2 linked regions of the Macaca mulatta genome follow. The protein of the gene in region 1 purifies or fractionates together with the protein of each later gene. This does not show direct contact. Links are inferred from orthologs where the notes say so. Each region holds a gene or a part of one and is shown in the gene's direction. Other genes may lie near its edges.

Evidence for each region. Proteins that work in one complex are often made in the same cells at the same time.
Region 2: the proteins of DNAJC7 (region 1) and IFT122 purify together in Homo sapiens (co-immunoprecipitation; 3 studies listed by BioGRID and IntAct, counting the BioPlex papers as one, with this or other methods). This does not show direct contact. The link is inferred for Macaca mulatta from reciprocal best matches to the Homo sapiens genes DNAJC7 and IFT122.

The regions. Positions count from the first base shown.
Region 1 is NC_133421.1:66,317,723-66,321,653, reverse strand, and holds the end of DNAJC7 (dnaJ homolog subfamily C member 7), read left to right. Parts: intron 1-1,346; exon of another isoform or gene 1,347-2,624; coding exon 2,625-2,687; exon of another isoform or gene 2,688-3,149; coding exon 3,150-3,187; 3' UTR 3,188-3,404; downstream 3,405-3,931. UniProt on the Homo sapiens protein: Acts as a co-chaperone regulating the molecular chaperones HSP70 and HSP90 in folding of steroid receptors, such as the glucocorticoid receptor and the progesterone receptor.
Region 2 is NC_133407.1:154,425,169-154,428,817, reverse strand, and holds part of IFT122 (intraflagellar transport protein 122 homolog), read left to right. Parts: intron 1-482; coding exon 483-654; intron 655-2,105; coding exon 2,106-2,208; intron 2,209-3,649. UniProt on the Homo sapiens protein: As a component of the IFT complex A (IFT-A), a complex required for retrograde ciliary transport and entry into cilia of G protein-coupled receptors (GPCRs), it is required in ciliogenesis and ciliary protein trafficking.

The DNA.
Region 1 (3,931 bases):
AGTTGTCTGCCCAAAAATTTGCTGGGCATGGTGGCTCACGCCTGTAATCCCAGCAGTTTGGAAGAACAAGGCAGGCAGATCACAAGGTCAAGACCAACCTGCCCAACATGGTGAAACCCCATCTCTACTAAAAATAAAAAAATTAGCTGGGCATGGTGTCGCACGCCTGTAGTCCTAGCTACTTGGGAGGCTGAGGCAGGAGAATCGCTTGAACCCGGGAGGTGGAGGCTACAGTGAGCCGAGATTGCGCCATTGCACTCCAGCCTGGCAACAGAGCAAGACTCGTCTCAAAAAAGAGAGGCCCTGACCCGTGAACGGTGCACAGACCTACCATCTCTTCCACTAAGAAAATCTCGGTTCACTGCAACCTTTGCCTCCCGGGTTCAAGCAGTTCTCCTGCCTCAGCCTCCTGAGTAGATGGGATTACAGACACCCACCCCCATGCCTAGCTAATTTTTGTATTTTTAGTAGAGACGGGGTTTCACCATGTTGGCCAGGCTGGTCTTGAACTCCTGACCACAAGTGATCTGCTGGCCTTGGCCTCCCAAAGTGCTGGGATTACAGGCGTGAGCCACTGTGCCTGGCCTTCTATTGCAATTTATTTATTTGTTTATTTTTTTTATGTTTTTGAGACAGGGTCTCACTCTGTCGCCCAGGCTGGAGTACAGTGGTGCAATCTCAGCTCACAGCAATCTCCACCTCCCGGGTTCAAGAAATTCTCCTACCTCAGCCTCCTGAGTAGCTGGGATTACAGGCACCTGCCACCACACCCGGCTAATTTTTATATTTTTAGTAGAGACAGGGTTTCACCACATTGGCCAGGCTGGTCTCAAACTCCTGACCTCATGTGATCCGCCCACCTTGGCCTCCCAAAGTGTTGGGATGACAGGTGTGAGCCACCGCACCCAGCCAGAATTTAAAATAAAAATGATGGTACTATATAGATAATACTGAGTCCTCTCCAGTTCAGTGTGGGGGGATTTGTGTTTAATAAACCTAGGTTCACCATAATAAACATGTTCCTCTGCCCAGCAGTTAAGAAGAGCTATAAGCAGTCAAAAGCTAGTGAAGAGTTTTTGTTTTGTTTTGAGACGGAGTCTCGCTCTGTTGCACGGGCTGGAGTGCAGTGGCACGATCTCGGCTCACTGCAAGCTCTGCTTCCTAGGTTCACGCCATTCTCCTGCTTCAGCCTCCTGAGTAGCTGGGACTATAGGCGCCCGCCACCATGCCTGGCTAATTTTTGGGGTTTTAGTAGAGACAGGGTTTCACTTTGTTAGCCAGGATGATCTCAATCTCCTGACTTCGTGATCCGCCCGCCTTGGACTTCCAAAGTGTTGGGATTACAGGTGTGAGCCACCGCGCCCGGCCGTGAGGAGTTTTAAGTAGGGGCACTGTGGACCAGATTTTGGCTCTGGAAATATATTTGTGATAGAGGTGAGGAGGTGGTGGTTGGAGGGAGTAAGGAGGATGGAGATGGAAGGAAGACAAAAGGTAGGAAAGGATTGGAGGGCACAGTCGGGAGTTAGTGGTAGACTCAGCAGGAGTTGGTTGCTATTCAGATGTGTTGGGGAGAGTGACAGCCATAGCTGACTCTTGGGGTCATTCACTAAGCAGGGGAGGCCCAGGAAGATACGCAGATGCAAGCAGAGAAACTCACTCTGGGCACAAGGTGGCTGTGGGATCACCTGGTGGGGATCAGTCCTTCTGTGTAGCTTGGGAAGTCAGTCAGGGATGGGGCCATCAGACATGCTGTGGCCTCGCAAAAGTGCACAGTCAGTCAGGCAGGAGTTGGATTTTCCAGTTCTGCTGCTTTCGCTGCCATGTGATCATGGGCAAGTTCCTTGAACTACCTACACATGTTTTGTTGAGTATTAGTTGGGAATGATACTTACCCTGACAAATCATTACTAGGATTAACTAATGTAATGTATGCAAAGTACCCAGTACCTTGCACCTAGTAGGTGTTTTTGTTGGTTTGTTGTTGTTGTTATTGAAACAAGGTCTCGCTCTGTCACCCAGGCTGGGGTGCAGTGTTGTGATCATAGCTTACTGCAGCCTCGAACTCCTGGGCTCAAGCAATCCTCCCACCTCAGACTCCCAAAGCGCTGGGATTGTAAGTGTGAGCCACCATGCCCAGCTAATAAACCATAGCTTTTTTTCTAGCCTAGAGTCTACAGAGTAAAAGACATGGAATCAAATACGGTAAATCCTAGATCTTGTTCTTATATTTATTTTTGGTAACATTTAAGTGACACATTTTATCCTTTTTAGTAGCCGCTCCAGCATTATAGGGAGACAGAGTATGGGGAAAGTCTTGTGTAAGTGCAAATAGCATTCCATTTGTTGAGAAAACAGCCCAGCGAAGCACGCTGAAGCGGAGAAAGCTTTCCTTTGGGGCAGCACTTGGAAGGAGAAGGGAACATGTCCTAGGAGTGGGATCAGGTAGCATGTTTTGCACGGGGTGGGGCAGGTTGGCTCACCTGCAGTCTGAAGTGTTGGGAAAGGAGGGAGTGAGACTCTCCAGGAAAGCTTTGGAGATCTGTTCTCAGTGTCATCAGTTCTCTTCAAACATTTCTAATTTTTCACCTTTTCTTCCCTTCCATGTTACTTGCCTTGCTCTACAGATTTTGATCCAAACAATATCTTCAAGGCTTTCTTCGGCGGTCCTGGAGGCTTCAGCTTTGAAGGTAGGTGGGCCTGCTGTTGCTGGGAGTTCCCAGATCACAGGCCAACACACTCACTGCCACTTCGGCAGCTCTTCGGGAGTCAGCGGGGCCATGAGAGGGGGCGGCTGAGTTCTCATCTAGCATGGCATCTATCCACTCGGCTGTTGCTAAGGATGAAGACAGGAAGGCACCCCTTGCCTTGGGACCTTTAGCCACTGCATCTCTGCAGGGTCAGGGGGCATCTCTGACTGCCTACTGCCGAGGCTTCTCTACAAGAGCAAAGGTGTTTAGAAGCTGCCTACGTATAATACGGTCACCTGCTCCTTCTTGCACCCCAAAACAGCCTGAGCTGTTTGATACCCATAGAGTTTCTGTCTGCGTTTGAGTTTGAAGCAGCCCTTGAAAACTTTTCCATAATCAGAGCAAAGTGATCTTCCCTAGAAAATCCAGAGCCAACTACCAAGCCCTTCTTTTCTCTTTCAGCATCTGGTCCAGGGAGTTTCTTTTTTCAATTTGGCTAATGAAGGGCAACCACCCAGAACCCAGAAAATGCAGATTCACTCAGTTTAATCTTGAATGTGGAAACAGTTCACCTCCTCCCTTCATCACGTCTCCATGTACTTAGAGCAGTTTCGTTTTCTCAGTTGGATGCCCTGTGTCTCTGTGAGTGGGGTGGAGCAAAGGGAACCAATGCCGAAGACCGCGGGCAGGGGAGGGAGGCGGGGGTGGACAGGGAGGCAGCTTGTGAATTTTTGTTTTACTGTTTAACTTTATTAAAAAAGAAAAAAAAAAAGAAGAGAATAAAATGTTTTGACCCTTTCTGGCCCTTTGCTCTGGCATCTGCTTTGTCTCCATAGTCTGTGAGCCAGAGCTGAGCCCGACCTGGACTTGGGGTGCAGCAAGCTGCCACAGGTAGGCTGTGAGCACCGAGCCTAGTGGCAGGTGGGGCACTCTGCCTCTCCCAGACCTGTCCCACATGTGAGTGCTAGGCAGGCCCTGGCTGTGCCGCTGGGCCCAGCCTGACATCAGTCACGAAGAAGCGAGTTCAGAAAGCATGCTCACCTTACAGTGGGGCCCCAGAAATCACTAGAAGCTGTGTGCGTCCAAAGCTCAGGTGGGTACTGACCTAGACAGGGCAGTTTACTTACAAAGGCTCTCTCAGTTCCTGTTGCAGTGTGGGTTCGAGGGAGATGGTAGACAGAGATAAAACCCTGCCTCTTGACCCCCAGACCTGTTTGAAGTGGGACGGGTGGCTCCAGAGCTCT
Region 2 (3,649 bases), on another chromosome or scaffold:
CACTTTTCTGTGAGAATTCCTGCACCTGTGGTGGAAAGAGCACTGGGCTACTTCCTGGCTGCTGAGTCTTGGGCTGGGTGCTTCACCTTCCCCCCAGACTTTATTCTCATCTGAGAGATGGAAATAATAGTGCCCACCTCTTAGGGTGGTGAAGATTCTGATTTCATGCATGGGAAAGCTCATGGCATTATCTGGGTACTGGTAGGGGATTAGGAGATAATTGTTTCTATGCCCTGCTGGATAGCTCAGTGACTTCTGAGAAAGATACACGAGGTGGCTGATGGGATCCTGTAAAGGCCACCTCTCCCGGTCCCTGGTGATGTTTCTGGAGTGTGTATTCATGCATTTAATAACTAACCACTGAGCAGCTCGCAGGGGCCATGGCACGGTATCAACATTGGGGACTGCAGGGTGAATGGACATACGGCCTGCCCTTGACAAGACCCAGAGCCCCCCCTCCTACCTGCCCCTTTCCTCTCCAGGTTGATCGACATCGCCCGCAAGCTGGACAAGGCTGAGCGCGAGCCGCTGCTGCTGTGTGCTACCTACCTCAAGAAGCTGGACAGCCCTGGCTATGCTGCCGAGACCTACCTGAAGATGGGTGACCTCAAGTCCCTGGTGCAGCTGCACGTGGAGACCCAGCGCTGGGATGAGGTGAGGGGAAAGCAGGCCTCGTGGGCTGGGGCCCCACCTGAGCCCTGGGACACGGGTGGGTACAGGGGCCCTTTGGGGTTCAAATGGAGAGAAGTTGCCCTCGTGATGAAAGGAACATTGGGCTGGCAGTCAGGCAACTTAACCTCGAATTCTCTGAACCTCGAATTCTCTGAGCAACTTAACCTCGAAGTGGAGCGCCTTTCCACTTGTCCGTTCATTCAGTCATTGAGAAAATCGTTACTGACAGCCAGCTCTGTGCCAGGGTGGTGACAGGCACCGGGGATGTGAGTGTGAACACAACAGCTCCAGTGCCTGCCATTGGGCTGAGCTGCCTCTGACCAGCACCACAGGCTCAGACACGTGGCTGATGTGAAGATGCACCTGCGTGACATTTAAAACCTGCTGGGCAACATTTTGGCAGAAAGCACCATCTGTGCTTTCCAGATCCAGACTGCGAGAGTCATTTCAGGGGCCAGTTTTTTCCCTCCCTTCTCTGCCCCCACCCCACAACCACTGCTTCTCTCTCTGGTGTTGGGGGCTGTAAAGAATTAGCCAGGCCAGTGAGAAAAGTGGCCATGGCTGGCAGAAGCAGCTAATGCTGCCCCTTCTGTGGCCAACCCCCACCCTCCAGCTCACCGGCTCCCTGTGCCCTTCAGAGAAATCCATCCCCGAGAGGATTAGGAGCTGTGCCAAGATCCTCCCCCGACTCACCCACCCACCCGTCATGGTCCATTTTAGAGTGAAAGCAAAGCCTTCACTGAGAGGAGCCATCTGACTGTTGTCTGCTCTCTGGATGGCTCCATTTGGTGAGGTGTTGAGGTCACTCATGAGAAAAGGTGGGGCTAGGGACAGAGGCAATGGTGGCTTCTCAAGAGAAATTTATTAGATTTCTCAAGCAGCGTAGATTAGAGCATCTTAGAATGACTCAGACCTCGCTGTGCATCAGGCAGACTTTCTCCCCATGGCTCATGTCCAGTTCTCCTGGCCTGACAGGTGATTCTGGGGCTTAGGTGAGAAGTAGTCAGTGGGTCCATACAGCTCAAGGCCCACAGTCATCTTTGACAACTGATAAGAAGTGGTAATGATGATAATGTCAATTCTGTTTCCTTAGGTATCGCCTGCAATTAAAAGAAATCTGTTTGCAGCACTACAGGAGCCCACGCAAACCCTCAAAATAAAATGTTTCCGATTCTGTGCCGCTTCTGTGGTCCAGAAACAGACTGTGTTGTTACTGAATCCAGTCGCTTGCATATTGCTGTTAATTGCCTTTTGTTTTCGAAGAGCTGATTTGTTTTTGCGTTTCTGTGGGTAGTTTTTGGGGGAGGCACTCTCCCTCTCTGAGTCGTCAGGCTGGCAAAATATGACATCCCTAATGAATTCAGCCAAGTGCAGTGTTTTCATGGGGGCTGCAGGGGCAGTTTTATTAAGACTTCATTTGCTCCTTCCCCCAGGCCTTTGCTTTGGGTGAGAAGCATCCTGAGTTTAAGGATGACATCTACGTTCCGTATGCTCAGTGGCTAGCAGAGAACGATCGCTTTGAGGAAGCCCAGAAAGGTAGGCAACACAGACTGTCACCTTCTAGAAGGAGCAGGAGAAGTCACTGCCAAGACATACATTTCAGGAAGGCTACCAAGCCCTTCCCATCTGTAGGTCCCAAGATAGATGACTTCATCCTGGGGATGTGATTGTTTGGTGGTGAAAGACTATGGAGCATGGAAAGACCATTGGCTTTGGAGTCACACCCTCCTGGGCCACACTCACTTGCTACAGGCCCTTAAGAGGTGCTGCCTCCTCTCCAAGCCTCTGTGGTTACTGAGCAAAGTGCTGTGCACTGCAGTGTATCTTCTCATTTAATCCTCACAACAGCCCTATGGTATAGCTACCATCATTATGATTCCCATTTTGCAGATGAGAAAACTGAAGGGTAAAGAGGTGAAGAAATTTGCCTGAAGTTTCATAGCTAGGAAGTGGCAGGGAGGTAATGTGAGCCAGGGTGCCATGAGGACAATAAGGGAGGACTGCCACACAGTGTGAGGCATGGTCTCACCTCTACTGAGAATAGAAACTCAGCTTCTATTTCTGGCTCAGATAAATGGGTGACTTCTGCTCCTCAAGATTTCTGTTGGTAAAATGGGCTGCACAAAACATACAACGGCATCTGAAGTTGGAGCCAAAGCAAGTATAGAACTTTCGCTGATGTTATTAATCATATTTTTTTTAAGTTGACTTCCCTCTCTGTGTCAGGCCCTGGCTGAGCACTTAACCTATGTAACCTTGAATATTGCCAACAGCTGTGCAAGGATGAAGAGGCTAAATGTGCCATGCCAAGTCACAAATCTAGTCAGCAGGAGAGCCAGAATTGGACCAGTACCTCTCTGACTGGGGAACCTGATTTTTCTGTTTTGCTGCCTATTTAGCCTTCTAATTGAAGTTGGGTGTTTCATGTTCCATAGCATCTGATTTACACTTCTATATGGTAACCGTTGCCACCTCTGGACACATTGCAGAACAAATGTCTCCCTGTTGGAGCTCTCAACCGAAAGCCCTCATTGAAGGATAGCGCATTCTCTGCTGCTTCAGCATTTCCAGAGCATCCAGTTGCTGAAGTATCTGCATGTTTGGGCAAAACACATCAACCTATCCATCTGTCTGTGTCTGCCCTTCCAAGAATCCATCACCATAGTAACTTGGTACTCAGACAAGAGATTGTATATGAGAATGGAACAAAGGCCAGACCTTCTCCTTCTCTGAAGGCAGAGGATTAGGATCATTTGAATGCCCACATATGGCAAGTGTCATGGCTACAAGTGCTTCACTATCAGCCACCAACATCTCAAGGGGCTGGCCACGTAGTAGGTACTCAGAAAATATCTGTTAAACAGTGTAGGAATGATTGAGAGTTTTTTTGCTTGTTTTCACAAATGGTTGTGAGAACTGAGGTAGATCCTTCAAAGTGGTCACTGAAAAGCAGTCATTTGAAGACAAACTGAAGAGT